Linked DNA regions of Xenopus tropicalis. The protein of the gene in region 4 purifies or fractionates together with the protein of the main gene of each other region. This does not show direct contact. Links are inferred from orthologs where the notes say so. Each region holds a gene or a part of one and is shown on either strand. Other genes may lie near its edges.

Region 1 (6,928 bases), on a different chromosome or scaffold from region 4:
TACCCTGTAACATGTAATTATTAGATGTGTCCCTGAATTTGCAAGTGATCTGAAAAACCACAACAACCACCTTCCCAGCACATTAACACATTTGCCCAGCACAGGAACACAAGAATTTATTCAGATTCCCACTGCTCCTTTTAAAGGTTACATAAGCAAGAATGGTATGGTGAGGGGGGTGGAGGTAAATATCCCAGATAATTCCTAAACATATATGGGTAAATCAAAGCACACTGTAGCACAGGAACTTATGTTGACAAAAAGCAACTTGCACACAACTGCTTCACCCCTTTGCCCCCTGCTGGACAGGTACTGAATTTGCTTATGATGTAGGTTTCTGTACATGGTTTATTTATGTAGAGACAAACTTAACAAACCACTACACTTACAAACATAAAGAAGGCCACAATTTCACTAAACTAGTAATGACTGGCCAAAATTCAATAAACAAAAAAATAAAACTAATATTAAAATCATTTTTATATAGTTAACAAAAATATATATTCAAATTTTTTTTTTACAAACAGATTTATACAGTATATGAAATGGCGCATAGAAGCTTACAATCAGTAGGCCCCAATTGAGGATTCAGGAATATTAAGGGCATGCATATCTCGAGTCATGTTGGATTTTTCCTTGAGCGTTGATTGAAGCAACGTGTGCTCCACTACCCCAGTTCTTATATCCATCTGGACAATTTCATGTTTTAGCTTTGTTAATGCCTGCTTAATCTTTACCAGTGGTGCTGCAGGAAAAATGAAATAAATAAAATCAGTTTTACTCCTCTTCTTTAATACAAACAGACCAGCCTTGGCTACTTTTCTACTGAGTGCCCTACTGCCATCTTCAGTCACCTCCCAGCTATCTGCCTATGATTGTAGCACAGCACTAAACAAAGGTACTCCAGGGTGCTGTGCTATTTACAGAGGAGGTGCACCTGGCTAAAAAGTAAGTGTTTGTGGTCACTGGGGGAGTCTGCTAATGTACATTAGAAGTAGCTGCACCTGTATGTGTAAACACACACAAAACAGACAGCAAACAGGAGGCCAGGTTAGTAAATACTGCCAACAGCTGGCCTATGCTATACCAACTTGCAGAGAAGGTTATAAGAAAGTTAAGCTTTGTGTAACTTGCTACTTAATATTTAGTCCTGTTTGGGGAAATGATTTTTGGGTAAGTCATGTGCTTTTCCAGTTACACCAGATAAACAATAAACAAATAAAATAAAAAAAAGTCTCACCACCATCAGTCATGCTACTCCCCTTTTCTTCCATTTCCTGCTTTACTTTTTCTAATTCCTCTGTTATCTGACAATAAAGCACAAAGGAAATATGTAAAGTAGGAATGAAGTCATGATGACACTGCATCTGTTATTACTAAAGGAAATGCTTTACCTCAGCGAGGATTCTGGTTCTCTCAGTTACCCCTCCACTTGCTTGCTGGTATCTTTCTTTTGCCTAATAAAGGAAACCCGAAAATATAATTTTGCATGTAAAAATATTAACCCAACATTCATTTGTACAGTATCAATTACATATAAGCCAAATCACTTAAGATTATACAAAACATACACCCCTCTTTACCCTTGGTCTTTGTCTCTCATCAGTAACTGTTGTCTACAATCCTGTCTCTAAAAATAGAAAGGATACAGTTGAAAGACTCTTTTTCCAAGAGACTAACACTGTGTTATTCATGTCTGCAACTCACAATAAACAGAAATTCACCTAAGGCAAGCCTATGTTACAAGTAAAAATATAGCTAAAACATTGTGCGACGCCTTCAGTGAGTGCCACCATGCTGCAGCTACAATATACCCTGTTGTTCAACATAAGTCCTATGAACAGGGCTTGTTCTGAAGATATTTTTTGCCTCTTGATTCATTCATGAAAATCTTTTCTTAGTTCCTGAGCTAAACAGGGAAACTGAAGCTATTTCATGTTTAGTCATGGTGAGATATATAAGATTAACAGTATACAATTCCCTCTTTTCCACTTCATGTACCCATGGCCTTAGTGCATATTCTGTCAGGCTGAGAAGACTTGCATTCAGTGGGGCTGAATCCAGGGCATTCACACAGTGTAGTGGGGATACTGTGTAATGTAGTTTGTGAATGGTAGTAGCCTTCAAGGATAAAATCCCTTGGTACTGCATTAAGGACTTAAGTCTGCACTTCTTGAATTGAACAGTTTTTAATTTGTCTTTCTAAAGAAAAACAGAAGAACAATGAAGTGAGAATGTGAGGGTACCTCGCTCAGCTGAGCCTGTACAGATCGATACTCTTGCACCAGCTGCTCCAGTTGATTGTTGATGTACTTTTCACGGCTACTAACTTTCTCCAGTGCCTTGGCAACTTCATTGTGAAGTTTGTCAAGGTATCCCTGCAGTATAAACAAAAAAAAACCAAAAAAACAAAATCCATTACCCATCTATTATATAAAACTGCCAATAAAAAACATGGTTATTTCCCACTCAATAATGTGCTAATCTATAGGTTAAGTCAGTGAATTCCGTATTCCTGTTCTCTGTCAAAGTATTTTCCAGATTTACACAAACACACACAATATTATGGCTCACAAAATGTAGCTGTACAAAAGTTATGCCTGCTAATGTGGCTCTCGCTCATGAGCAGCAGGTTGCTCACCAACCCCTTGGATGCTGCTCGCAGGAGCCTCAAAGCAGGTGCTTATTTTTTAATTTCTGGCTTGGAGGAAAGTTTTGGTTGCATAAAAACAAAGTATAGACTGCCAGTCCACATGGGGCTACCAAATAGCAAAAACTGCCCTTTCTGGCACCCCAGGAACTGTTTTCAAGCTTGTGTTGTTCCCAAACTCTTTTTAACTTTGAATATGGGTCATAGGTAAAAAACCCTAAACAAAACTTTACCTTGGTTTCCTTTAAGGATGTGTCAATGCCATCTCTGTGCTGGTGCATCTGATCAACATGGACCCTCCAGTCCTATAAGCCAAAGATATAAATATGAATATAAATAAATGAAAAGTAAACCTAACTGGTAATTAGAATACTGACCAAATGATAATTACAAAAAGCAGGCCAATTGTGATTTTCTCAGCTACTGTTATGACGGTTATGAAATGGAGAAATTCAATCCATTACTGTTTAAGCTTGGTTAAAAAGTTTATAAAGTCACAGACACTAATCGCAGAGGTCAGACAGTGATAAGGTTATGTGATTTACACTACCATATATAGAGGCAGAAAATACAAACTTACAAAATGGCAGCACAGTGACCTAGTAGTTAGCATTGCTGCCTTAAATTATTCTGTGACTGTGTTTCCTCCAGCTGACCCTTCATTTCCTTACCACCGAATGGCTTAGTTGCTCGATAAACAGACCCTATTGTGTGCATATGCTTATTGTAGTAAACTTGACTGTAAGCTCCACTGCGGAAGGGAATAATGTGAGCACTGATCAACTCTGTAAAGTGCTGTGGAATAATAGAATGATGTCTAACAATGAGACCTTGTTGTCTGTCCTGATTGTGACTTTAAGCTGGGGCAGAACACGTTCCACTTCTAGGATCCATTCTGCTGCATCTGTGTTTGATTCCAAAATCTCTTCTGGTTTGGAAGATTCCTTTGTATTCTAAAGTAATACAGAAATAGGTTTATATGTGAAGTTACAAAAGGCCATTCAGCACTCAGTTTTAATGCATAACAAATTGGTATCTTGTGATGTTATACATTCTCCACAGAAATAAACATCTACTAGGTGGCACTATTCTCTTAAAACCTATAAAGAGTGCCTCATCTGAGAAAGTTCTACGGCAACTCAGTGAACATAGGTAAAGTTGTATGCACAATAACAGAATCTCCCCCATTAAAATCGATGTTAGTCTTACTTAGAAATATGGAACATGTTTTTTTGTTTTATTTGAATAAGTATCATAAGGATACAGACATATTATAACTAACTTCATCCCTATCGTGCCCAGAATCTTTCAGTTCTGTCTTGCTTTAGCCATGGTGGCAGTTGGTCTCCAGCAGAGCTTGGCAGCCCAATTTCCACCACTTATAAAGAAAACAGGGGCTAAAATTTTGAACCTGCACCTCAGTGTTTCACTCTTTGTGCTTCTTCACTATTAAAAGGCCTAAAGGGGAGCACTGCTTCTATCCTAGTAAATGAAGAACAAAGAGTCATCCCTAGGACATTGTATTCCTAGAATTAAGTGGATAATAAAATCATTTTAAAAGCCTATATATATCGTATATTTACATTCATGAAACAAAAATGTAACTTACCAGTTTCTGTGTTTGTGCTGAAAGAGCATTTAAATCAATAAAATGTTCCTGATCATTGTCAGAATCCTCTTCCTAAAAATGATACAGCTTTAGTTAACTTTTATACATGTATAGTACATAGACAACAAAATATGTGCATAAGCATCATTTCACATCACAAGTATATGTTTTAAATTTTCCATGGAAAACATCCAATGCCTTTACATAGTAAAAAAAAAAAAAAGTTATTCTTAAAAGGTACATTAAAGGGAACATGCATTTTTTAACCCTCTCTTAGCCAGTGCTCTTTCTAGGCCTGGCAGTTCTATTCAATGCTATAAGTGACCGCCATAACTAGAAACCTGCTTCCTAGTTCTTTACTGCTCTGCTAGGCGCCATGCCACTGGCATAGCATTAATTACCTTTTTTTAGTTGTGCCAACACAATGGGGCCGATTCACTCAAGTCCGAAAAAACGAGTGATATTTATAGCATGCGTTAAAAATATTATCACTTCTTATATTTTGAGAATTAAGGATCAATTCACTAAGAGGACACTTGTCAGAATTAAGAAGCGATGTAATTGTCGTTATTCTGGCAATGACATATTTTTAAGAGTTATTTTAAACCATGCAATATATTTATGCGTTATTTCGTAGCACGCGATATTAGCGCACGCTATTGCGCACGTAACCGTTACTTTCTGAAAACTACTGTTCTGAAAATTACCATTTCCCTGAAAACTGGAGGATGCATGACAAGTCCATTTTGTCACCACAGACAATCACCAGCTGCAATTTTGTTTAGTAACGCCTACTCGTGGGTGGCGTTAAGTTTCACAGTAATTATCGCCACATTTTATGCTTTTAATGCTTCAAATATGTTTGTGAATTACACGTTAGTATTATTTCTATTCAATAATTACCTCAATGCGATGGAAATAACGCTTTGCCATAATCAGGCTTTTTGCACATGCGATATGAGTAGTAACGAATGAAAAAAGACTTTGATGATTCGGTACTTAATTATCGAACACTTTTTAATGCACAAAACTATGCGTTACGTGTTAACCACCTTTAGTGAATCCGACCCAATATGTTATCAAACTGACTCCCTCATTTCTGAAAAATGACCATTACCTGCTCATGTATAGGGTCATGTTCTGACCCACAGTAGTTAGCAGTTGAAATTCCACATGATGTGGCCTGGGTCAAACAGTCAGAAAGGTGCAATCTGGGCATTCCCATGCATGGTCACATTTTGCAATGCCAGCAATCTTGCAGTGGGCAGAACCAGTGGATTCTTATGGAACAGAGAGCTACAAGATATTTAAACCTAGCTTAAACTAAAACTAGGATTGTTTCATATTTCTATCCCTATTATTTTTTACCAATTCTAACTGACTGTGCCTTTAGGGATACAAATTGCATTAAAATACAAAAGCCGTGCAGATACTCACAGCAATTTCATCTTCAATTTTGTTTAAAGTCAACTCAGCATCGTCCTCAATTACATTTTCTTCGTCTTGCTCTTCTGTTGGGTATGTAGGCCTATAATGATACAGAACATGGCAACGGACAGATTAGATACAATAAACATACTTATAAAAATCTTACACTGAGAACCCTACAAATATACTACTTTCTGCTTTCCCCTGCATCATTTACTTTATTTATCATCACTAACACCCCCTCTTAACAGGCACCAGCATATAATAATCTTTCTAATGTTAACTTACTTTATTTACTATTCTTTAAAATAATTTCTGAAACAAAATCAGGTAGTAGGCTATTACTGTGAATAAACAAACTATAACTATTATAATTATATTGTCATTTTAATGCTCTGGCACTCAGACCATGCAACATTTATCATCAGTTTACAAAGCACATATGAATTAGGGCCCCTACTTGTTAACATTTTGCGGAGTCATGGAGTGCTTCCACCAAAAAGCATGTGTAATATTATATTCTCTTTTCTCTGTGGATTATATAAAAACCTATTTAAATGCCCCTGCATCTGAAATCTTCCTGGGGTATGGTTATTTAACCAATGAAAGGTAAGATTTTTAAAAACCTATAATTAGGATGTAGCAGTGACATTCTAGAAACTTTTTCAGTTGTTCATGGGCTTCTTAAGTGGGGAGAGAAAGAAAGTATGTGCTCCAGAAACAGTGTCAAGAGCTCATGATGACAATATTAGTTTTTTAAACTCATGCAGGGTTTCGGGGAAAAAAAAAAAACTTTCATTGAGGTATTTTTCTACCAGCGGGCTTTCTTAAATAAGAAAAAGTTTGGCAGCTTTTAGGTGAAAAATACCTCAACTAATGAGGCCTTTTTGCCCCCGAAAGCCCTGTGAGTTCCTAAACTTACGCAGGGTTTCCTTTAAAGATTCCTCAAGCTGAATGGCTCAAACAATAATAAATCTGCCCCAGCCATTCTTGGCATAGCGGATTTTAAGAATGCAATTGGCTAGGTAATATACAGTGGCCAAATGTCATTCACCAAGATAACCTCTCTTATAGAACATAACATAGCTGTTAAAAATAAACATGCACATATAAATACAACAGTAGTTGCTGCTGAGCCAACATGCAAGGCCACTATCAGAGACAAAAGGAATGCCTGGAGAGTGTACAGTAGCTGTACAGGTTACACACACATACTGAATCTATAAAGGTCCAATCTAATG
Region 2 (7,988 bases), on a different chromosome or scaffold from region 4:
GACAGGTGGCAACCCTACTCACCTCTCTCAATAATAAATCTTGGTTAAAAGGACATGTAGTGTGGCCCGCACGTGAACCTACAACAGAATGTTGCTGATGTGGCCACAGAGGAAGTAAATAAAGAGGTTGCACTATGGTGCTCTCCTTAGACATTAGATAAAGAATCTCAGACCTGCATCAAAATATCTATATAGCAACATTTGCTCAGAGTTTGCCTAATTGTATGGGGCAAATCAAAGGTTCTCTGGACCAACTTCCTGTTTAGCAGAGAGCATATTGTTTGCACTGATAAATATGACGGGAGGTGCCATATTGTATGCCTCATAAGAATAATCTCCAAAAAACTATAAACACATGACAGAACCTGGTGTGGCACAGTTGTGCAGGCCCTGTTGTGGAGCGTTCCCTGCTGGGGATTGGGGCTGGCAGCAGAGCCAGGCAATAGTCTGTCTGGTCTTGTCACTGTCAGTGACTGTATTGTTGTCCCTAGCTGTACAGCAAGTTGTGCCAATGGGCTGCTCCATTAGGGTTAACAGGCTCCTATTACAGAAGGACTGTGTGATTATTCTTTTAAAGATAGAAAAGAAGAAAAGATTATTACCGCAGACGTCTCAAAATACTCCAGTCCATTGCTTGCTGCCCACTCTTCTGCCTGCCCCCTTTCCACTGCTCTGCGGCCTGCCATGTCTGTCTTGTTCCCAACAAGAACACCTTACAAAAGCAAAGAGGTAGACACTATTAGCCAACTGGAAGAATGGAATAGGAGCAAGGAATTAAAGGGATGGTTTACCTTCCGGTTAAACTTTTTGAATTATTTGTCTTCCTCTTCTGCAGGGCCGGATTTTCCCTGGTCATCTCCCCATCCAACAACAGCCCCCAGGAGTGCGCATGTGCGAACAGCGGGTGCGTGTGCATGCGCGGAAGACCGAACTTGCATACGGAGCAGTGGGGAGAAGTCCCCATTGCTCTGTAACAGAACAAAATTTCAAAATTTTGGTGTGGTGGGGCTGCATGCCGCCCTCAAGTTGTGCCGCCCTAGGCCCGGGCCTTTGTGGCCTCTCCCCAAATCCAGGCCTGCTCTTCTGACTTTCCAGCTTTCACATGGTGCTCACTAACCCCAGCAGCCATATTGCTCTGGGAGGCTACAATTTTTTTCATTACGGTTACTTTTTTTTTTTACTTTCTATTTATGCCCTCCTCCATTCATATTGCTGTCTCTCCTTCAAATCACTGCATAGTTGCTTGGTTAAATTGGACCCTAGCAACCAGATAGCCACTTCAATCCAAACTGGACAGCTGCTAAACAAAAAGCTACATAATTTAAAAAAAAAAAAAAACACAAATAACAAAAAATGAAGACCAACTGCAAAATGTGGTGCAGCATGCTGAGCTACAGGTGCAAGGGAACCTTCCACACTGCACTGCTCCCAGGTCTCATACTGTATGTGGTTTCTATTGCATTAACCAACAAGCAAGCTGTAATATTGTGGCATTGATGTCAATTTGTCTGACATTTACAAAAGGACGTATTTTATGCCCACATTTGTGCATTCCGTGCCTGGCAGTAGGTGCAACATTTCTGATGAGTAGTGACAATGAAATTTAGGGAACAAAATAACACTGCATTGTGGCTAAAAAAGCAACTGTTTTTTGCTTTGTTGCCTTTAGTACCTGAGGCCCTTTCACTCCTTTCAATCAGCGACACACAAAATAAGAGAGAAATGAATGCATGCTACACAAGGAAAAGGAACTTTCCATTCTCTGGCACCAACCTGGGAGCTGAGGGCTGAATGTCTTCGCTCTAACTCTCTGCAACCACTTTGCGCAGCTACTGAATGAGCTCTCATTGGTGACATCAAACACCAAGCACAGGGCACCCGGCTGGTCCCACTGCATGAAAAAGAGCATTCAGAGAAAGCAGCATTAAAAATAGAAATGCTACAAAAAAATCTTATTTCTAATTCCTACATTCCCCCATAAACATATATTTTCATTTTAATTACCATTATAGGGTACCCACATGGATCCTGTAAATGATGGGCACACATTTCTATACACAATCATAAATGCATCGCTGTTTGTCCATATATTCTCATGTGAGAAATGCATTGGTTACTCTGGAAGCTTTATCCTTGCCTATCCTCAAAGTACTCAATTAGCCTGTACTAGTGAATTAGACATTGGATCTTTTATCAACATATGCCTTTTTCTACTACATCTTAGTAGTCCACCAATTCTCTGGAGTCTCTTTCGTCAAAAATGACTGGGAAGAGGTGAGTCTCTCTGGAAAGCTGCTGATAATTGCTTGTTTTGGCAACCCTTGGTTCAGAATGACTTTTGGGAAGAAAGCTCAAGATTGCTCCTAAAATTTCTAGTTATATGGGATACCCTATAGCAGTGGTCCCCAACCTTTCATACTTGTGAGACACAGTCAAATGCAAAAAGACTTGGAGAGCAACACAAGCATCATAAAAGTTCATGGAGGAGCCAAATAAGGGCTATGATTGGCTATTAGACTGCCTCTATGCACACATCAGCTTACAGGAGGCTTTATTTGGTAGTTATTATTGTCTTTATTCAACGAAAACTTGCCACCGAGTCAGGAATTCAGAAATAACTCCCTGGTTTGGGGGCACTGGGAGCAACATCCAAGGGGTTGGTGAGCAACATGTTGCCCCTGAGCCACTGGTTGGGGATCACTGCCCTATAGGCTGAAGTTTACCCATTGGGTTTTAAAGAACAGGCAGGGCAGTATGCTGGTCAAATTCCCAACTACAGACCAGTTTTCCCCCCTAGCATATGTAAAGCCAGGGAAGTGGATCCACAAGAAACACATTTTTGTAGAGATATCCTTATTCATATGCAAAGCAGAAGGAATTAGCCCAGGATTGCTCTGACCTAGCTGAGCTTTAAACCCCAGTAATGTAGAGAGTGCTATTTTGAGACAATTTGAAACTGGTCTTTATTTTTTATTTGAAGTTTTTGAATTATTTTGCTTTTTGTTCAGTAGCTCTTCAGTTTGGAATTTCAGAGGGTATCTGGTTGCTAGGGTCCAATTTCACCTAGCAACCAGGCAGTGTTTTGAAAAAGGCAGCAATATGAATAGGAGAGGGCCTAAATAGAAAGATAAGTAATAAAAAGTAACAATACAATTGTAGCCTCAGAGAGGAATAGTTTTTGGCTGTTGGGGTCAGTGACCCCCTTTTTAAAGCTAGAAAGAGTCAAAAGAGGAAGGCAAATAATTTAAAAACTATAAATAAAAAAAGACCAATTTAAAAGTTGCTAAGAATAGGTCATTCTATATGGGTGAACTACCCATTTAAGTGTATTCCATGTTAAAGTACATTTTAGGAGTGGGTTTCCTTAATTCGCTCCTCTATTCCTGTACAGCAGACTGTAGGTGGGTGGCAACCTGAAGGTCAGTTGCAGTGACATTTTGGGAGAATGCCTGCTTGCTCTCCAAGATACACCTGAGTTCAATTGGGGAAAACTTTTTTGTTGTTGTTCTTAAAACTAAAGCTAAATGACCTGTATCTTTTTAGCAAAAAGGGGGACCTGATTAAAGGCTTGAACTGAAAAAGTCCAACAACCACTGCTGTAAAACATGATGCCGCTCCTTACTGATTGCTAAGGACATTCATTTTCTAAGACAGAAGCTGCCATACTGATTCCCTAAAAGAAGGGGTTCTTTAAAACCTTACTAATCAACTAGAAGAGATGTGTTCATATTTGCACAGTCATGCAATGATTTGCATTCTCCAGGGCCTTGGTTACACAGGGAAATAAGTGTCAACTCTCCCCTTTTCTTCTTTTCTCTTCCCTCATTTAACGTGGAATAAAAGAAGAAGAAAACATTGTGGGTTACCATTATAATTGGAAAAATCAGGGTAATAATGTTTCTTATAAAATGACCTCTGTACATAATCATGAGCTTAAATGGAACCAGCATTACAACTGCCTGATTTATTTTTGGATTGGATCAAGTAGAAAGGAGCTGTATACTTCACAGCCTAACCATTTATTAGGTAAGAAAAGACAGGAGCCTTATAGTGCGAGGTGCTTCAGATTGGATTGCGTAAGACTCAGCACGGCGGGATTGGCTTCAGTAGCTTTGTCAGAATGAACAGAGGGACTTACCAGCTTCTCCGTCACCTCATAAAAGATTGCTTTGCCAGGACTGTCGCAGAGGAAGAGCTCCTGTAAAGGAACAATGGAATGAGCTGGGCTTATATGTGAAGTCTCAGAACAGACTGCATAATGGACAAAACAGAAAAGGCAGGTTAGCGGAGAGGTGTGACCCTGGGCTTAATGTTTTATGGCCCAATTATTATTTGTGCAAAATGCCCAACTGGCAGAGCATATATGGTTAAATTAACTTTACCCAAGTGGGTATAAATAGCTTGTGCTGCCCCAGGCTGTTAACCCCTACCATCTGGGAAATATATTATAACCATATTTTCCAATCCGCAGATAAGGTTGCCACCTACTGGACTGCCCCAGACATCACGGTTCCACCCCTGACATCACCAGCGCACCCCCCTACCCCACATCATTGTGCATGGTAGGAAGTGATGCATTACGTCACTTTTTGTCCAAACAGGTACCCCCTATCCATTTTGGATGTAGCTGGCACGTATCTGGTGAAAAAAAAAAAATTCTGCTAAAAATGTTATTTCCCATATCACCAGTCAAGAGCATCGCCACTAAAGCTGCTGCCCTAAGCTTGGGTCCTAAAGTGCCTATATGGGTAAATATGGGCCTGGTCCCACAACCTTTGTCTGGCTTTTGCTGGCAACCCTATTCACAAATGTCTCCGATTCTCCAACCAACCCTTATTTGATTAACCTTGCAAAGGAAAATAATTGTTGAATCTACAGAAAATAAAATAAAATTGTTAAAAAAAAAAAACAAAAAACAAAACTACAACCAGTGTAGAAGAAGCCAGCTGTGAACACACATTCAAAGCATTGTGGGAGTCTTGGCTGAATGAGAGCTGGCTTCTTTTACTTTGCTTTAAAAGTCAGAACCAGCTGTGCAGAAAGGGCCAGAAAAAGACTGCTTTCTACAGGAGCGATATTTACAAATCAGAAAAGCACCCTTACCACACTATCTCCAGTATCTGGTATCTGAACGTTTTTTACAGAAACCTCCATGCTAGTGGTCTGCAAGGCAAAAAATGACATTGTAGTTTAGAAAATGTCAGTACTGGTGATCAAATGTACACAGCGCCAACAACATGCAAAATCCAGAAACCCAGACACTACTTCCCAATCCCGTTGGTACCCTGCAGCCTATATCCACCATAAATTCAATGTATTTCTATTCGGCATGACCTACCATACTGTAATTCTTTGGGAAATGGCTCCCATCACTCCGGAAGAGTTGGACCAGGGTACTTTTCCCCACAGTTGTGTCACCTGTGATAGCAAAGGAACATATGTCACACACCTTCACTCAAAACATTTTATTTCAGCTCTTAAAGGAAAATATATCCCACTTGTTGACATGAGTTCCTTCAGTTGGGGCTATGCTAAAATGGTGCATAACACTATCTGACCTGCCAGAAATAAATATATAGATTTATTTTTTACACAGACATGCCCGATTCCTCAGATTGAGAGGAAACCATTAGAGCCTGTCTCTGATTCGCAGGGACCATTTCCTAACCCCTCCTCAGCAGAAATACTCAAGCCCTCCTCTCACCTTGTTCGATGAAATATTGCAGAATAATGTTCACCCTATATGATTCGAGGAACACATGTCCTTGGGCTTTAGCTTGAAGGTTCACCTTTAAATTAACTTTTGTATGACACAGGCAGTGATATTCTGAGACAACTGGCAGTTGGTTTTCATTTTTTATGATTTTTCAGTTATTTAGCTTTTTGTTCAGTAGATCTCCAATTTAGAATTTCAGCAGATGTCTGGTTGCTAAGGTCTTGTTTACCTTAGCAACCAGGCAGTGGTTTGAACGAGAGACTGAAATATGAATTAGAAAGGGACTGAAAAGAAAATTAAGGAATAAAAAGTAAAAATGATAAAATTGTAAGTTCAGTGATAGTTTTTTTAAGTACTGGGGTCTGTGACTCCCATTTAAAAACTATAAAAAATAAATAATAAAGAACAATTTCAAATTTCTAGGAATAGGATTTTCCATAACATATTATTATTTAACTTAACCACCCCTTTAAAATGATACACAATATCCAATAAAATGTGTTTTATAAGAAGGCGCTCAAAGAATCAATAGAGAGACAGGCATAGTAAAAAAAAAAAAAAAAATTATTTTAATTGTGAAGGGTACAAATGACCGAATGCGTTTCATGCTGGATAGTACCAAAACACGAAGGCCATTTGTATCAGAGAGATAAGCATAGGGGAGAGCTATGGTTTGGGGGTTTGCCTTGGCACCTCCCTGACTTAGCCTGGCTCTGTCTGTCTGAGTACCTGCTTAAAATTAGCAATGTTTATAATATGGTGATTCTAAACGTGCTTTATAAATGGCAGATTCTTGTTCATCAGGCAGAGATTTGATTATTTTTCTCAATACCAAAACCAATGCTCATCCCTAACCTCCTTGTAAATTCTCCCTTAGAATATTCTACAAATAACCCAGCTGATAGTACTGTTGCAAAATACACTTTATGTGCCTAGTCTTTATACACTGTCTGGTCTGCCCAACATAAATGCAACTCGGTGAGCACAAACACAGAGCCACCCGCCATATCACGTAGCAAAGCCAGGGACATTCCCCTTCTTCCACTTTGTACCAATAAAGGTCTCAATGGCTTCTTAATACAAGCGCAATAAACTCTTCAGGGGTCTGTAATTATGGGTAAAGCAATTCCGCTGCTCACTAGTCTGTTTAATGGCACTCACAGCTAACATACTCCAGACATGCAATTTCTTCCCTTACATAATCATGCGCCCTGTTGGGCAGTATTGTGTTCTTTATACATAATATGGTAATGTATATAATCAACACTGCCACTTACTCCACCAATTGAGGCCACATGGTAGCTGTAACTTTAAGTGTCATGTAAACAGTGGTATTATCACAAGGCTTTTAATAAATGGACGCCGTGCCCTTTTATTGTTGCCCCCTCGAGGGTGCATAATCTCATATAAAGGGAAGGCATAAGCCGCAAAAAATGGGGGTGTTAAAATAAAGGTCAATAAAAAGATAAAGCATATATTTAAGGCAATTAGAGCTTTCCATTTATCACAATTACCTTTATGTGCTATGAATCATGAAAATAACACAAGCCAATTCTTTGCTGATGGACGACTTACTCTGTGCTACAACACTGCACGCTTATCATTATACACACAACCAGAACATAAAACACAATAGTCTGTCTAGTTCAACCATTAAAAGAGAGAACTAAACCGTAAAAAAACATCATGGGTAGAAATGCCCCCCCCCCCCCCCAGCTCTCCCCTTACTAACCTGTATCCGTCTCCGGAACAGCTTGAAGTTGAACAGCTTTATGAGCTTCTGCACACTTGGGGTTGGGACAATGTTCTGATAGGCTGGAGGACAAATGCTAACAGTGCCTCAATGAGAACATTGCCCTGCCACCACAGTGTAACGTAAACCAGGAAGCTGCTCAACTTTACGCCATGCAGCAGAAAACGGTAAACTGGGGGGAGGCAGGAGCACATTCATTAGAGAAAAATTGCAGTGCTAGGGTTTATGAAGGCAGAGTGACAAATTCCTGTTAAAAACTGGAACATGTCACTATACCTTTATTGAACCAGCCTAAAGGTTTAGCATTTCTATAACAGTAATGCTTTAGGCCTTCAAAATTGTCAAAGTTGTGTACAGGAGCTCCCCATTTGGGATTCTGTTAGAAGTGTCAGTGACACTGCACATGCTCAGTGTGCTCTGGGCAGCTGCTGAGAAGCTAAGCTTAGGTATCTCCACAAACCATCAAGCAGAAAATTAAGGTTTGCATGTTACAGAAGTTTATGATAAAAGGCTCATGAT
Region 3 (7,988 bases), on a different chromosome or scaffold from region 4:
ACGAGGAGAGCACTCCATGTAATTTACAACAATGGAATCTCAAGGGCATTTTTAGAAAGTAATATATACTCTTAAAGAAAATGAGGTAGAAAATGAAAATGCTAAAATAATTTGTTGCCTTTCCAGCTATCACACTATGCATGCTATGGAGAAGATTCCACTCCACTTGCACTAGCTAGAAATTACTAAGCACCCCAGCAAAATCATCAATCCCAAGTAAGTGGAAGTGGGTGGCTGACTCTCTTTTACACTCATGCTAAACCAAGGACTGAGGGGATTTAAGTCTTAGCACAACTAATATCATTGTGGCAAAGAATAAATAAAATACAGGTATGTGACAACATAACTAAAAAGCTGATATCAAGAAAGCTCCAGAGTACAGAAATGCCATCTCCTAAATAGTCCATTTTAAGCAAATAATGACCTTTTTTTAAAAAAAAACAAAAAAACAAACCCTATTTCCTCTGTAAACAGTTCCTTGTATTTAATGGTATATTATTGCAAAACAACCCTACTTTTTAATTTTGATCCAAATTATGGATTGTACCAACAAGCGTTTGCCCCCCTTAAAACATCAATAGAAAAATACCCTTCTTCTACAGGTTAAGAGTCTAATCTCATAAGATATTGCTGCAAAGTGCAATCATTCATCTAGGTCAACTATGGGACAATATATGGGTAATATGGCATTGGTTTTAACATTTCATCCCATTTTCTTTAGCTAGGGGTGGCAAAATTAAATCGGTCAAAACTTGTCAACAATACCCCAGAAATAGAATAGAGTCTAATGCTACTATGCTTTGTATCGCCTGCATTTTTACTGCGGGCAGGAACAGAGGCGGCCCACTTAAAAGCTGCCCACAGCCCGGTACTGGTCCGCGGCCTGGCGGTTGGGAACCCCTGTACTATACAATAGAGATAATTGGATAATTGGAGGGAAGTGTGCAGATGTTCAAACTATACTCTTTGCTGACTGAACAAAATTAAATACCATTGAGGCTAATGGCACACAAAAATAAATGAAACATGTAGGGAAAAACTAGCCGTAACCATATTTCTACAAACCATTTGTACTTTGTCAATGGCACTATCAGTATCATCTCTTTACTTTTACTTTATTCTTACCTGGTAATATATTGGAACAGCTCTTTAATTTCAGCCGTCACTGGAAGGTGTTCATAGTCTGCTGGGTTGTAACTACAAGAGGGAGAGAGAGCAAGTATTGTCAAACTCAGTATTCACAGTGAAAGCATCTACCATTCTGCTACCTCAGTAAAAATAATGTACAAATGTAAAGATATTTCAAAGGCCTATAAGCATAACAGCTGTGAATTATTTTAAATATTACACTGCCATCCCTCCATAGACCTAAAGTTGTGTATGGATGAGGTGAGATTTACATTTCACTTTAGTATGATATGTTGTGTTGCTAAGCACACTTTGTATGCTTGTGCTCTAGAATGGGGGCGTGGTATTGGAGCATTGCAAATACTGTACTTGCCAGTCATCTTAGAATTTTTAGGTGTTTGTTTTGAGAAAGATCCACCAGCAAAATCAAAATATTGACATTAAAATAAATACTTATATTTAACGATAGACCTTAAAACACACATCATATCTTCGTGCCTACATATTATTTCTGTCTGGAATCGGATGATAACATTTTTTGACAGCAAAAGTTTTGTATTACTTTATTTTTTTAATATGGCACAACTACCAGTTATTACAATGTTCATGTGAATGCTGATAATTACAGAAAACTATTTAAAGAGCCAAATAGTAATGAGTTTACAGCAGTCTTTCTAATCACTTACTGGTGATCCCAGCAAAAGCATGCAATTTTTGGGCAAATCTCTGCTTCACTCCATGTAACTGTACTAAGGCCGAAGATGTGCCTGTCAGTGCAGCTAAAACTAGAAGTCAATAGGAGCAGATACACTTCTCTTTGCCTGGCTACAAAACACAGGTGCACGGGCCCTTGCCCTTAGCTTACTAGGCAAATCTGTCCATTCAAATGACTTACGAACACAATAATTAATTCATTGCAAAGTTGGGAGTCCTCTACCAGCTTTTCTCCACTGACTGATTCCTATCAGCAAACAACATGTCAAACCATGTGTTGTCAGCCCTTTTATGGCAACTGCCTGCAGCTGTATATTCAAGTGGCTTTCTGCCGAAAAAAGTTAATGGAAAGCAACGTGCAAGTTGAAGGTATTTTTGCCAAGGGAGAATACATGTGGTGGGCCATTAGCCTTACAAATGACAGACAGTTAAAATAATGTGCTCTTGGTATTTGATCATACATGTATGTAACAAAGAAAACTATAATTACAGAATATTTAATGTGCATGTAACAAGACCCTTGTGGATATTAGTAAGGCAGTTATCAAGTTAGGTATCAGTTTCCGTTATTATATTTGTTAATATAGGCTTTTAAAAGAAATTAGACAGTTTTGGCATGGAAAGATGTCTACTTATTCTTGGCACAACTCAGTGGTCCTTTCATGTTTGATGGATTTGTAAGCTATCTTTATAGAATAGCCTGTTGTGGAAATAACATATAACAAAAGATGGCTAATACTGTTGTTACACCACTGTACTGCAAACTTAAAATGCAAAATGGCAGAAAAAAGTTTAATACAAGAAAAAGCAAATCAATATGCCACAGTAAATTCAGCAGTATTTTTAATCTGACACTATAACTAAAATTACCAAATACTATATAACAAAAACAGAGAATTGTTCTTGTTTTCAGGCACAATTAAGGGTGCAAAAGAACAACAAATATGGCAATAGCCATGTAACTTTTTCATCTTAAAATTCACATTAGCATACCACTGAAAACTGCCTTTTTGTTTTAACTGGCATATGAAAGTATATATATTAATTTTCTCTCACCCTTCATTAGAATTTGCATGTCCTTCTTCATCATCATCATCATCATCATCCTCGTCATCATCATCGTTGTCGTCATCATCATCATCATCTTCATCATCCCCTTCAGTATCTTCTGTATCCTCATCATCTGTAAGCCCTTGTGTGCGAGCACCACGAACATCTCCCAGCTTTCCTGCCTTCTTCTTTTTTCCACTCTGGAAAGCATACACAATAAATGAAATTAACACATGGCAAGTGTGTAGCCACACTACAGCTGGAATGGCACCTATTGCCTATGCATTCTCTAGCATTTTCTGGCAAACATTCCAAACCAACAAGTGATTTGCAGTCCTAGTTCAAGCATTTAATAGGTTCAATGGCTTTGTTTTTTAGAGTGATACTGGAGGATAATTTACTAGAAAAATTGTGCTTCATGCAGGAAACCCAGGAAGCTGGCACTGCTGTGAATTCTCAAATACAGTTTATGTTACTTTGGCATTACTATTACCAAAGTGTACTAGAAGTAGTAATGATGCTTTTCAGCCCAAAAATATTCTTTAGAATATATTTTATGGTGAAAAGCAAACAGTACCAGAGATATTATACAACTAAGTGAAACTTTAGCTAAACCACTTTTCAACTGAAATAAGTCAGCATAGAATGCACCCAGAGTGCCAACAGCCTAAAAGTTATATTTAACTTACTGTCTAATAAAGATTTGGGATATTTTGCCAATAAGTATATCCCATATTTGAAAACTTTGTGTTATAACCTGTAAAATATTATAAAATAGTGTCTATGGTTACCTTTGTGCTCTCTTCATCCTCACTACTGATAGCAAGTTCTGCCATGCCTCTGACCTTGCCAGACATCTGCTTTGCTGTCCCTAGGAGAAAAAATATATGGACTGCAAGACTGTAAAAGCTTTAAAAACATGGCTCAAAGTGGTCAAACATGTTGAGACCCATTCGTTGGGGAGGTCAGCAAACAAGGTAGGCGATATCGGGCTAATTCTTTTATTTGGCCCTAGGGTTAAATAAACAGCAGGCACAGGTGCAGTAGGACCGGAGCCGTATCAATGAGCTGATGCGATCCCCAATCCAACAGGAAAATCAAACCTACCGATCAACACCCAGATATCGATTTGGTACGCCCATCAGGGGGCCCCATACACAGACAGCTAAGCTGCCAAATTGGTCTAAAGGGCTCGAATCAGCAGCTTAAATCTGTTTTGCTGCATACCTCGGTTGTAACGAGTGGTTATTTCAGTCAAAGTTGCTCTTCTATCAGCTTGAATCAGTCGGCCCATTCTCCTCTGACCTCTAGCATCAACAAGGCATTTTCGCCCACAGGACTGCCGCATATTGGATGTTTTTCCCTTTTCACACCATTCTTTGTAAACCCTAGAAATGGTTTTGCGTGAAAATCCCAGTAACTGAGCAGATTGTGAAATACTCAGACCGGCCCGTCTGGCACCAACAACCATGCCACGCTCAAAATTGCTTAAATCCCCTTTCTTTCCCATTCTGACATTCAGTTTGGAGTTCAGGAGATTGTCTTGACCAGGACCACACCCCTAAATGCATTGAAGCAACTGCCATGTGATTGGTTGATTAGATAATTGCATTAATGAGAAATTGAACAGGTGTTCCTAATAATCCTTTTGGTGAGTGTATATTATACACATATATATATATATATATATATATATATAATATATAAATATATATATATATATATATATAAATATATAAATATATATATGTGTATAATATATATATATATATATATATAAAGTGAATAGTGGACTGACGTTTCGGCTGAACACCTCAGCCTTTCTCACTTTGAGAAAGGCTGAGGTGTTCAGCCGAAACGTCAGTCCACTATTCATTAAAGGAATCTTTATTTTTCACATAAGTCCTGTGAGAGCGGCTTCTTCATTTTCTACTTTGTTTCCGAATTTTGGATGCTGCACCCAGGCAAATTTTGAAGTAAAAAATTATTATTTAATCATCGCATCAACGCGTTTCGATCCTCATTTTACTATATATAAAGTCATGGCCAAAATTGTTGGCACCCCAGAATTTTTTCCACAAAATCAAGTATTTTACAGAAAAGTATTGCAGCATGTTTTGCTATACACATGTTTATTCCCTTTGTGTGTATTAGAACAGAACAAAAAAGGGAGAGAAAAAAAGCAAATTGGACATAATGTCACACAAAACTCCAAAAATGGGCTGGACAAAATTGGCACCCTTAACTTAATATTTGGTTGCACACCCTTTGGAAAAAATAACTGAAATCAGTCGCTTCCTATAACCATCAATAAGCTTCTTACACCGCGAATTTTGGACCACTTTTTCTTTGCAAACTGCTCCAGGTCTCTCTTATTGGAAGGGCCTTTTCCCAACAGCAATTTTAAGATCTCTCCACAGATGTTCAATGCGATTTAGATCTGGACTCATTGCTGGCCACTTCAGAACTCTCCAGCGCTTTGTTGCCATCCATTTCTGGGTGCTTTTTGATGTATGTTTGGTGTCATTGTCCTGCTGGAAGACCCAAGATCTCGGCCGCAAACCCAGCTTTCTGACACTGGGCTCTACAGTGCGAGCCAAAATCCTTTGGTAATCCTCAGATTTCATGATGCCTTGCACACATTCAAGGCACCCAGTGCCAGAGGCAGCAAAACAACCCCAAAACATCATTGAACCTCCACCATATTTCACTGTAGATACTGTGTTCTTTTCTTTGTAGGCCTCATTCCATTTTCGGCAAACAGTAGAATTATGTGCTTTACCAAAAAGCTCTATCTTGGTCTCATCTGTCCACAAGGCGTCTTCCCAGAAGAACTGTGGCTTACTCAAGTACATTTTGGCAAACTGTAGTCTTGCTTTTTAGGTCTCTGTGTCAGCAGTAGGGTCCTCCTGGGTTTCCTGCCATAGCGTTTCATTTCATTTAAATGTCGACGGATAGTTGGCGCTGACACTGATGCTCCCTGAGCCTGCAGGACAGCTTGAATTTCTTTGGAAATTGTTTGGGGCTGCTTATCCACCATCCGGACTATCCTGCGTTGCAACCTTTCATCAATTTTTCTCTTCCGTCCACGCCCAGGAAGATCAGCTACAGTGCCATGGGTTGCAAACTTCTTGATAATGTTGCGCACTGTGGACAAAGGCAAATCTAGATCTCTGGATCTCTGTAACCTTGAGATTGTTGATATTTTTCCACAATTTTGGTTCTCAAGTCCTCAGTTCTCTTCTCCTCTTTCTGTTGTCCATGCTTAGTGTGGCACACACAGACACACAATGCAAAGACTAAGGGAACTTCTCTCCTTTTTATCTGCTTTCAGGTGTGATTTTTATATTGCCCACACCTGTTACTTGCCCCAGGTGAGTTTAAAGGAGCATCACATGTTTGAAACAATCTTATTTATCCACAATTTTGAAAGGGTGCCAATAATTTTGTCCAGCCCATTTTTGGAGTTTTGTGTGACATTATGTCCAATTTGCTTTTTTTCCTCCCTTTTTTGTTCTGTTCCAATACACACAAAGGGAATAAACATGTGTATAGCAAAACATGTATTATATATATATATTATATATATTATATATATATATTATATATATATATATATATTATATATATATATTATATATATATATATATTATATATATATATACATACATATATATACACACACACACACACACACAGGTATAGGACCCGTTATCCAGAATGCTCTGGACCAAGGGTATTCCAGATAAGGGGTTTTTCTGTAGTAATAAAACAGTACCTTGATATTGATCCAAACTAAGATATAAAGAATCCGTATTGGATGCAAAACAATCTTATTGGGTTTAATTAATATTTTATTGATTTTTTAGTAGACTTAAGGTATGGAGATCCAAATTACGGAAAGACCCCTTATCCAGAATACCCTTGGTCCCGAGCATTCTGGATAACGGGTCCTATACCTGTACTGATATTAAGCAGTATCTGCAGTAGCAGCTTATCTGCCTGCTATCAGCACTTCTCTTGCACAAGATGTGTTCTGCCACAGAAAATATTTTTAGCTCTCCTTTATTCAGCCAAAGCTTCCATTTATCAGCCCACTGAAGTGACAAAAGAAGTCAGCTGTGTGAATTTATTATCGGTAAACAGCATATGGTCACAATGATTCTAATTTACCAATACAGGTGCTATACTAAACCAGTGCACTTACCCATAGCATGCATTCATTTCTTTGCTTTCTTTTTCAAACTACCAATTAGACAGTACATTGCCGAGTGGTTCATAAATCAGACGCAGAGTGAGGCTACCACTGCAGAGTCAGTAGCAAGTAAGAGCAAGCCGAGTGCTAAAGTGGTTATCAAGTAGATTGGGGTTGGGGCTGCAACTAACGAATAATGAAGTAGAACAGAAGCCATAGCACTCACCACTTCTTTGCTGTGCAATTCTCTTGTTCATTAACAACTGTAACCACAATGAACAACATTTTGGGGGCTCTGCACCTCCCTTCAGACAGACTTCTGTTCTACTTTATTGTTCTACTGCGACGTGGCCATACATCTAAGAAGTAAGCACAACCTGTCAGTTATTGCACATTGTAAGTGTGCGTGGTGCTCCCTACAGAGTATGTTCTTTAACTAAAGAGCACTTATATTTTCCTTAATGGTGTGGTTCACCTTTAAGTTAACTTTTAGTGTGTTATAGAATGACCAGTTCTAAACTACTTTTCAATGAATCTTCATTGTTTATTTATTTGTTTTATATAGTTTTTGAATTATTTGCCTTTTTTTCCTAACTCTTTGCAGCTGACCCCAGCAGCAAAAAAAAAAAAAACTATTGCCCAGTCAGGCTACAGTGTTATTGTTACCGTTACATTTTATATATATTTTTATTCAGGCCCTCTCCTTTTTATATACCAGTCTCTAATTTAAACCACTCCCTGGTTGCTAAGTTAATATGGACCCTAGCAACCAAATAGCTGTTGAGATTCCTAATTGGAGAGCTGCTAAACAAAAATTTAAATCATTGAGGAAAAAAAAAAAAAGAAAAATGAACACCAATTACAAATAATATCAGAATAGCATTCTCTACATCATACTAA
Region 4 (7,988 bases):
GTACAACAGTGTAAGTACTTGGAATGCAAGCTGCATCAACTGTGAGATTGTTATTGACACCGGAACGGATGATGTTCTTTATCACAATCCCACAAGCTGTTTCATTAATAAAGGACTGTAAATATATATATACATACATACATATAGGTGCCATCAGAACCCATCATACAGTATATGGGCAAAAGTATCTGGACGCCTGCCTCTTCAACATCTCATTCTCAAACCAAGATGATCAACATGGGGTTGGACATCCCATTGCTGCTATAACATCCTCTACTTTTCTGGGAAGGTTCCACAAGATGTTGGGAAATTGACGGTTAAATTTGGGTCCATACAGCCCCTGCGAGGTTGGGAACTGATTTTGGGTGTCAGGGTGTGATCATTGTCAGTGTTTTTGTTTATCCCACAAGTGTTCAGTTGGGTTGAGGGCTCAGTGCAGGCCAATCAGGTTCTTTCGACCAACTCTTTATCGCTCTGACTGGGGGCCTGGGGGCTGTATTGTGCTGGAACATAAGAGAGATTTCCCCGATGTATTTGCCCTGCTCTGGAGTGCCTGGCAGTGACCAGGGCCACCATCGGGGGTAAGTCATGGGTTACTGCAGTCAAGGGCTCAGGGATGGAAAAAGAGTGATTTTCATTCTTCAACAGAGGCAGGGCTTGCAGGGGAGTGGGCAGTTTGGGAGGACTGTAGAGCTTTGGTGTAATTTGTTAGAGACCAGGGTAGATCAGGGGTGTAGTCATGAATGTAAGTGGCATTTTTTTTTAAACAGAATCACCATTTTACTTGCTGGCAGGACTCACCACCTAGAGGGCCAAGCTGACCAATAACTGGGGCCCCAGCTGAATTAGAAGAATGTGGCCCAATGATTACTGGTGGCAGCCCTGTTAGTAAGCTAATGTTGGTTTGTTTGCTCTGATCATCTATAAAACCCCCCATGTTTCCTACAAATAGTTCTTCTGCTGATGTTGCTTCCAGAAATTCTGAGACAGAGTGTCCGGATACTTTTGCCTGTATAGTGTCTTTGGCTTGGGACAATTCCAGAACAGCAAACAGATCTGATCATCTGTCTGATGGAGGAAGAGTGCACTTAGTGAAAGGCTTCTGTTCCAATATCCATTCATTTATTTATTTAACAATAGAAATAAACAGCAAGTTTAACAAAACTGGATATACTACCTGCAACATAAAAATCTATAGAGTTCAAAAGTCAAACTTTGTCACGTCTGCAAGAATAGCAACAATAAAAGATGCTGATTACGGAAATGGAACTGCCAAACAGCTTGAAAGATCCATTTGGTTTTTATATTGGGGGTTACTGTCCAATTAAAAGCCTCAGTTCTATTAGAGAGAGACATGCAGAGCCAGCAGGCCCAGACTGGCAATCTGTTGGCAAATGCCAGAGGGGCTGCTGTAAGATGCCATAGACAGTCACTATTTATTGGGCTGGGGCTGTTTGGGGCTCGAAATGCCAGGGCCTATTTGGAATCTCAGTGCAGACCTGAGAGCCTGTAATGTAGTGTTTTAGCTCTGTATCTGGGAAGTATAACGGTATAAATGCACAGGAGGATTAAAATTGTGTTTCTCGCCAATCAAGTGCTTTGATTCTTTAACGTATTCCCTAAAATCATATGTTGATTCGGTGCTGGCCCCCTGCTGCAGGGCATGTGACATAAACATAGGCGGGGCAAGGTTTCTTACCAGGCCCCTTCTCTCCTGGACCCCAACATGGGGGCTGCTGCCTGTTACATCTTTGAACAGAATCTAGACGTCTATATAAAGAATTTATCTTAAAAGTAACCTTCTACATGATACAGACAACAGTATTTGAATTAGTCTCCATTTTCTATTTTGTAATTATTTACAGTTATGGTTGTTCTGCCGCTCTCTGCCTTGGGGCTTAATTGCCCTAGCAACCATGCAGGAGTTTGAAAGATGAGTAACTTAAATAACAATAAAAAAAAAGAAAAGAAAAAAGCTCAACCCTGACATTCATGTGATTATTTTGGTTACTGGGGTCAGTGACCCTGACAACCAGGTGGTACTTCCTAGTTGCATGCTCTAGAGGAGGTGCATTTATAACACAAAGTTAATTGAAGGCATTAGTCCCGAGGCTTTGGAGATTTGGTCCGTTCTAGAAGTCATTGTCACTTTCCACAAGTGAATCTGCTTTCTGTGCTCGCCGACTAGCTTTGCCTAAAGATATTTCTTTGTTGTGACCTCTCACCCTCATGATGTCCTCCTCATCGTCATCTTCATCCTCCTCCTCATCATCTTCATCATCCACGTCTATCTCACTGTCATCGGAATCATCCTGTGTGTTGAAAATGGTGCTTATAAGACTGTCCGTTACTAAAACTACAGCTGCTGTTGGTGGGACAACACAAGGTTCTCCTGTGTGACACCAGGAACTACTATGGGAGTGGCTAAAGGCGTGTCTAATAACCGTATGAGCTGCATTCAGACACTGGCAATAGGTTCTTACTTGCAGTCTAACCCAATGAGACACGCATAAGGTGTTGGTAGGGAACATACCAACCTGTTTCTGACTGCTGTGAGCCTCTGAGCTATGCCTCTTAGTAGGACTCGGCCCCACCACCTCGTAATGAAAGCAAGGAAATAAAAAGACATGGAAAGCGCAGAGAAACGTAAGAAATAACCCCAAAAAGAAGAATGGCAGGTGGGACAAAATAAACAAGTGCAGGGTATATGTGTAGGGAAAAACATGTAACTGCAAGACCTCTCAAGGCCCAACTTGTGGCCCTCCAGCTGTTACAGAATTAAAACTCCCAGCATTCCTTGTCCTTCATGCTGAGAGTCATTGCTAAAAACAGCTTGAGGGTCAAAGATGGATATTCCTGCTATGGAAATGGAGTATGGACAGGACTGGATACAGGTTGAGTAAAGCACAGTGCAGCATCATGGGCAATAGTGGAATAGAAAATCTGGCCTATGGCACTTACTTCATCCTCGCTCTCTCCTCCATTCATCGTCCCCACGATGTGGCTACTGGATCTCCCTGTTAGGAAACAACAAGTATAAGTTCCAGATGATGCAAATGATAAGTAGTTGATATTACTAAACCCTCATTTTAATCCTAATTACTGTCATATGGCAAGTTGAATCCAATTTTTGTTTACCTTGAATGGTTACCATACGGCCATTGTTAGGTTTCACTGTTCTCCTCTCCATGGGGTCCATATCATCAGAACCTTCATCTTCCTGGAATTCAATGTCTGAGTCATCGTTGTTGTCTGTATTAGCAGAGGTGAGAGTTAAAGTCAAGCTGAGTATGAATGGATACCTCCTGGGACAAATTCAGTGTGGACTCTACCTCACAAGGGCATCTATATTCTATATTATTCCATTCTCTCAGTGTCCATGATTGTTTGTTGTATTTAAGCAGATATACAAACTAGATTTCAGGCTATTAGCACAATGCTCCAGGGGAGTACAGCCTGGCTACACGCATCTGTTCCTTGTTGTTATATCATTTAGAGCTTACATAAAGGGAATCCAGCCTGTATGGACAAAGCAGGCAGAGAGAGGCTGAGCCTGTGCCTTATGTGCCCTCAGCTTAAGGCCAATGCCACACCAGGCTCACCCCCTACACTCCGATCAGCCTACCATTGGACTGTACTCGGATCCAGTGTGTCAGGCACAGGCAAATCGAGTGCATTTTGGTACCAAAATCTGCTCTGTGTGCCTGCACCTGACTGGAAGCAGTGGACCCATGGGCAGGCTAGTCATAGCATAAGGGCTGTGACACACGGGGAGATTAGTAGCTGCACAACAAATCTCCCTTGTCGCAGGTGACTAATCTCCCTGAAATGCCATCCCACTGGCTAGAATGTAAATCGCCAGGATTTGTAAAAGTCATGGACGTTGCCTTGAGAGGAAACTTCCGCGACTTCGACAAATAGCGGCGCCACGTATGCCATCCCACCAGCGATTTACATTTTCGCTGGTGGGATGGCATTTCGGGGAGATTAGTCGCCTGTGACAAGGGAGATTTGTTGTGCGGTGCTTATCTCCCCGTGTGTCACAGCCCTGATGGCTGATTTTGGCCTGTGTTCATCCACAGGCCAAGAACTAGCCTTATGTGGCCATACCTTTAGCAAGGACCTTTAAAATGTGGCCACCCAGCGGTCAATGAATTACTGTTGGCATATTCCATGTTGGTATTTATGGTTGCCAGGCCTGGACTGGGAGTCAAAATAGGCCCTGGCATTCCAAGTACACAGAGGCCCAAACAGCCCCCCACCAACCCAATAAATAGTGACTGTCTATGGCACCTTACAGCAGCCCCTCTGGCATTTGCCAGAATCCACAGATTGCCAGTCCGGGCCTGATGGTTGCAGCTCAGGAAGAACAGCAGGACACAAGTAGACAGACATGGGATACCGGGGTAACAGAGATCCTAAAGCAGCAGAAAATATCAAATAGACATACTTACTGCCATTTTTGTGCAGTCTGTTCTCTTCTTCCCGCAGTTTGCTCTGCATCAGCCGCAGAGTGTTCTCTGCCTCCTGCAAGATATTGCACATACAGCCTGAAGTGTTACACAGGAATACAAGCTATTACACTGAGCAGGACTTCATGGAATCACTGCTAATATAAAATATATCCGGCCCAAGCACCTATATACACAGCTCAGTAACCATACAAGGGCCTGTCTGCCTCCAAAAAAGCAGGAGAGATGTTCATGTTTTATTTTACAGGGATTATTAAAACCCTTTAAACAAAACACAGGACAAGGGTAGGGATATTGGGTCAGTGTATTTAAGGTATTTAAGTGTATTTGGATATGCAATGTCAGTTCATGGGACAGAGGCAAATAATATCAATTCACATTAGATTTTTCCAGGCATATAAACCCAAGATTTTTAAAATATGGGCTTAGTAAGAGCTAAATTTGCAAGTATTACTTGGAAATGAACGATAAATGGGGGATAAAAAAACAAGAACCTTAGACACTATGTACACACGCAACTACCCCCAACTATATAGAAGTTTAACACAGGAAATGCAGGGCTGGAATAAGAAACAAATTTCTTGGATGGGGAGGGTTAACTGTATTAAAATGATGACCTTACCAAAACTGCTGTACTATTTTAGGGTCCTACCCATAGCAATCTCACAGCGAGACCTACAAAGCTTTCAGAGAACTGTTATGACGTTTATTTGGAACAATAAAAGACCAAGGATTAATAAAAGAACAATGTGCCTACATAAATCAAAAGGAGGACTCGGAGTCCCAAATCTACAACAATATTACAGGGCAGCAAGATGCGCCCAAATTGCCCCACTTCATGGAGAAACACTAGCCCCACTCTGGGTCGAAATTGAATCTGCCCTAATACAACCAACTTCTCTAATGAGCTTAATCTGGAATCCGACTCAAGATCTTAAAATGCTCAAGGACATATCACCAATAACTCGCCAAATGCTGCAACTATGGAATACACTTAAATACAAATATGAACTAGCATCAAAGCCTTCAAGACTGACACCAATATGGAGAAACAACCTTTTCACCCCAGGATATAATAAGGACTCATTCAAATGGTGGACAGAGCAAGGAATATCCTTTGCTTACCAACTCACAGACGGATCCAAACCTTTACAACTAACCCAAATAATGCAAAAATTCAAGGTACCCCCAACTGAACATTTCCATGCACTACAAATAACCCATTTTATACAACAACTATGGGGAAAAACAAACATGCATAAAACAGCAATGGAAACCATCTGCGAGGCCTCACCAATGGGCCGGAAAACGCTATCTCTACTATACCACCACCTAAATCATATACATACAAAAAATAAACTGCAACATATGCTAGACTGGGAACAAGACCTAAAAACAGAAATACCCCAAGAAACATGGCTCAAAAACTACCAAAATATATTCAAAGGTAGCTACAACGTAACTATAATGGAAACCTCACTCAAACTATTCCATAGGACATATTGGGCCCGATTCACTAAAGTCCGAAATAAGGAGTGCTATTTATAGCATGCGTTAAAAATCTTATCACTTCTTATTTTTCACTCGATTCACTAAAAGGACACTTGTCATAATTAAGAAGCAATGTTCTTGGCGTTATTTATCTTGCGACGACATATTTTCAAGCAATATATTACGCAGCGCACAAGATATTACGCAGCGCGCGATATTTTACGCAGAGCGCAATATATTACCCACGTAACCATTACTTTCTGAAAACCACCATTTCCCTGAAAACTGGAGGATATATCACTCTAGGGCCAACATATACTTGAAAAAATACGACTGCAAACTCCATGTTGTGTTGCCAATAGCTCACGAACTGCAATTTTCTTTAAGTACCGCCTGCCCCAAGTAGGGTTAATATTCACACAGATTAACACGATATTTTGCACGTTTAACGCTTCATATGTGTTTGTGAATCATGCGTTTGTACTATTTCTATTTGCTAATTAACGCAATGCATTTTTTTTGTGCATGCGATATGCGGATTAACACAAATGCGAAATGACTTTGATGAATCGGTACTTAATTATCGCATGCTTTTTAATGAAAAAAAACGATGCGATAAGCGTTATTGACCTTTAGTGAATCGGCCCCTATAACGCTTATCGCATAGTTTTTTTTCATTAAAATATGTCGTCGCAAGATAAATAACGCCAAGAACATCGCTTCTTAATTATGACAAGTGTCCTTTTAGTGAATCGAGCGAAAAATAAGAAGTGATAAGATTTTTAACGCATGCTATAAATAGCACTCCTTATTTCGGACTTTAGTGAATCGGGCCCTTTATGTCCCCAAACGACTTTCCCGAATTTACCCCACATCGTCACCACTTTGCTTCAGGAAATGCGCCACACGAGGCACTATGTGGCATATATGGTGGACCTGCCCAACAGTGCAAGAACTCTGGACAAAAGTAGCTACTATCCTTTCTAAAATGTTCCATACGGACATCCAGACAATGCTCCTAGGACACAAACTACAAGGCCTCAATAACTCTGCACAACGCTTAACACAACATATATGCATGGCAACTAGAATCCATATCGCAGCCCAATGGAAATCAAATCTACTATCCATAGAGAAAGTCCTGGACAAAATAGAATATATACACGCCAACGAAGCTCTCAAATATCAATTGGACAACGAAACTGACCTATACCTAAAGATATGGGACACCTGGATACTAAATAAGGACAATCTCTACCGAGCACAATGCAATGGGTAGGACCCCCTCTAAATAAAACGGATAAAAGTAAAAAATAAGTGAATGTGAAAATGAAATGCTAGTAAGGGACAATAAGTACCAGCTTAGAGACCTAGAGCGCAAAATGTTAAAATGTTTTTTTTGATTCTTATACCCTTCCCGTTTCCCCTCTCCTTTCCCCCCTCTTTCCATTTCCCCTAACCTTTTCCTTTTTCTCTATGATAAACAAAAAGATATACATGTAACATGTGAAATAAATGCACCAATGAAACATGTAAAAAAACAATAAAAATAAAGTTTACAAAAAAAAAAAAAAAACAAGAACCTGTATTTCCTTGTAAGATTAAACTACCTCAAAACGTTCCTGTTCCACTCGGTGATAGTCTTCCAGCTGCTGTTCCAGGTAACAAACATTACGAAACTTGTCCAGATAGGTCTCATAGTGCTTCTGCAGTTCCTCCTCGATCTTCTCATATTCATCCATAAATGCAGGCCTGTTGGCAAATGTTCTAGTTACCTCAGGAAAACCACTGGTCAAGTTGCTCCCAACCCCCTTTGATGTTGCTCCCAGTGGCCTCAAAGTAGGGGCCCATTTTTGAATTTCCAGCTTGGAGGCAAGTTTTGGAAGCACAGAGCCAGCTTCTGGGGCTACCAAATAGCCAGAGCAGGCCAGCACATGGGGCAAAATCACAGCCCTTATCTAAAGGTGAAGAAACAGGGAGCTACTTAGTTGCAGCTACTTGTCATGGCTACTAAACCCCAGGAAA

Evidence for each region. Proteins that work in one complex are often made in the same cells at the same time.
Region 1: the proteins of cluap1 (region 4) and ift57 purify together in Homo sapiens (affinity purification with mass spectrometry; 4 studies listed by BioGRID and IntAct, counting the BioPlex papers as one, with this or other methods). This does not show direct contact. The link is inferred for Xenopus tropicalis from reciprocal best matches to the Homo sapiens genes CLUAP1 and IFT57.
Region 2: the proteins of cluap1 (region 4) and ift27 purify together in Homo sapiens (affinity purification with mass spectrometry; 3 studies listed by BioGRID and IntAct, with this or other methods). This does not show direct contact. The link is inferred for Xenopus tropicalis from reciprocal best matches to the Homo sapiens genes CLUAP1 and IFT27.
Region 3: the proteins of cluap1 (region 4) and ift46 purify together in Homo sapiens (affinity purification with mass spectrometry; 3 studies listed by BioGRID and IntAct, with this or other methods). This does not show direct contact. The link is inferred for Xenopus tropicalis from reciprocal best matches to the Homo sapiens genes CLUAP1 and IFT46.

The regions. Positions count from the first base shown.
Region 1 is NC_030678.2:103,603,020-103,609,947, forward strand, and holds the end of ift57 (intraflagellar transport protein 57 homolog), read right to left. Parts: intron 5,788-6,928; coding exon 5,697-5,787; intron 4,332-5,696; coding exon 4,260-4,331; intron 3,604-4,259; coding exon 3,481-3,603; intron 2,956-3,480; coding exon 2,884-2,955; intron 2,379-2,883; coding exon 2,247-2,378; intron 1,458-2,246; coding exon 1,395-1,457; intron 1,308-1,394; coding exon 1,241-1,307; intron 746-1,240; coding exon 567-745; 3' UTR 329-566; downstream 1-328. UniProt on the Homo sapiens protein: Required for the formation of cilia. Plays an indirect role in sonic hedgehog signaling, cilia being required for all activity of the hedgehog pathway.
Region 2 is NC_030680.2:123,414,181-123,422,168, reverse strand, and holds part of ift27 (intraflagellar transport protein 27 homolog), read right to left. Parts: intron 5,419-7,988; coding exon 5,339-5,418; intron 5,164-5,338; coding exon 5,104-5,163; intron 4,199-5,103; coding exon 4,139-4,198; intron 1,892-4,138; coding exon 1,774-1,891; intron 713-1,773; coding exon 603-712; intron 1-602. UniProt on the Homo sapiens protein: Small GTPase-like component of the intraflagellar transport (IFT) complex B that promotes the exit of the BBSome complex from cilia via its interaction with ARL6. Not involved in entry of the BBSome complex into cilium. Prevents aggregation of GTP-free ARL6.
Region 3 is NC_030683.2:80,567,549-80,575,536, reverse strand, and holds part of ift46 (intraflagellar transport protein 46 homolog), read right to left. Parts: intron 3,764-7,988; coding exon 3,684-3,763; intron 3,093-3,683; coding exon 2,899-3,092; intron 1,198-2,898; coding exon 1,126-1,197; intron 1-1,125. UniProt on the Homo sapiens protein: Forms part of a complex involved in intraflagellar transport (IFT), the bi-directional movement of particles required for the assembly, maintenance and functioning of primary cilia. May play a role in chondrocyte maturation and skeletogenesis.
Region 4 is NC_030685.2:20,709,302-20,717,289, forward strand, and holds the end of cluap1 (clusterin-associated protein 1), read right to left. Parts: intron 7,716-7,988; coding exon 7,574-7,715; intron 4,528-7,573; coding exon 4,455-4,527; intron 3,253-4,454; coding exon 3,139-3,252; intron 3,018-3,138; coding exon 2,962-3,017; intron 2,313-2,961; coding exon 2,133-2,312; 3' UTR 1,116-2,132; downstream 1-1,115. UniProt on the Homo sapiens protein: Required for cilia biogenesis. Appears to function within the multiple intraflagellar transport complex B (IFT-B). Key regulator of hedgehog signaling.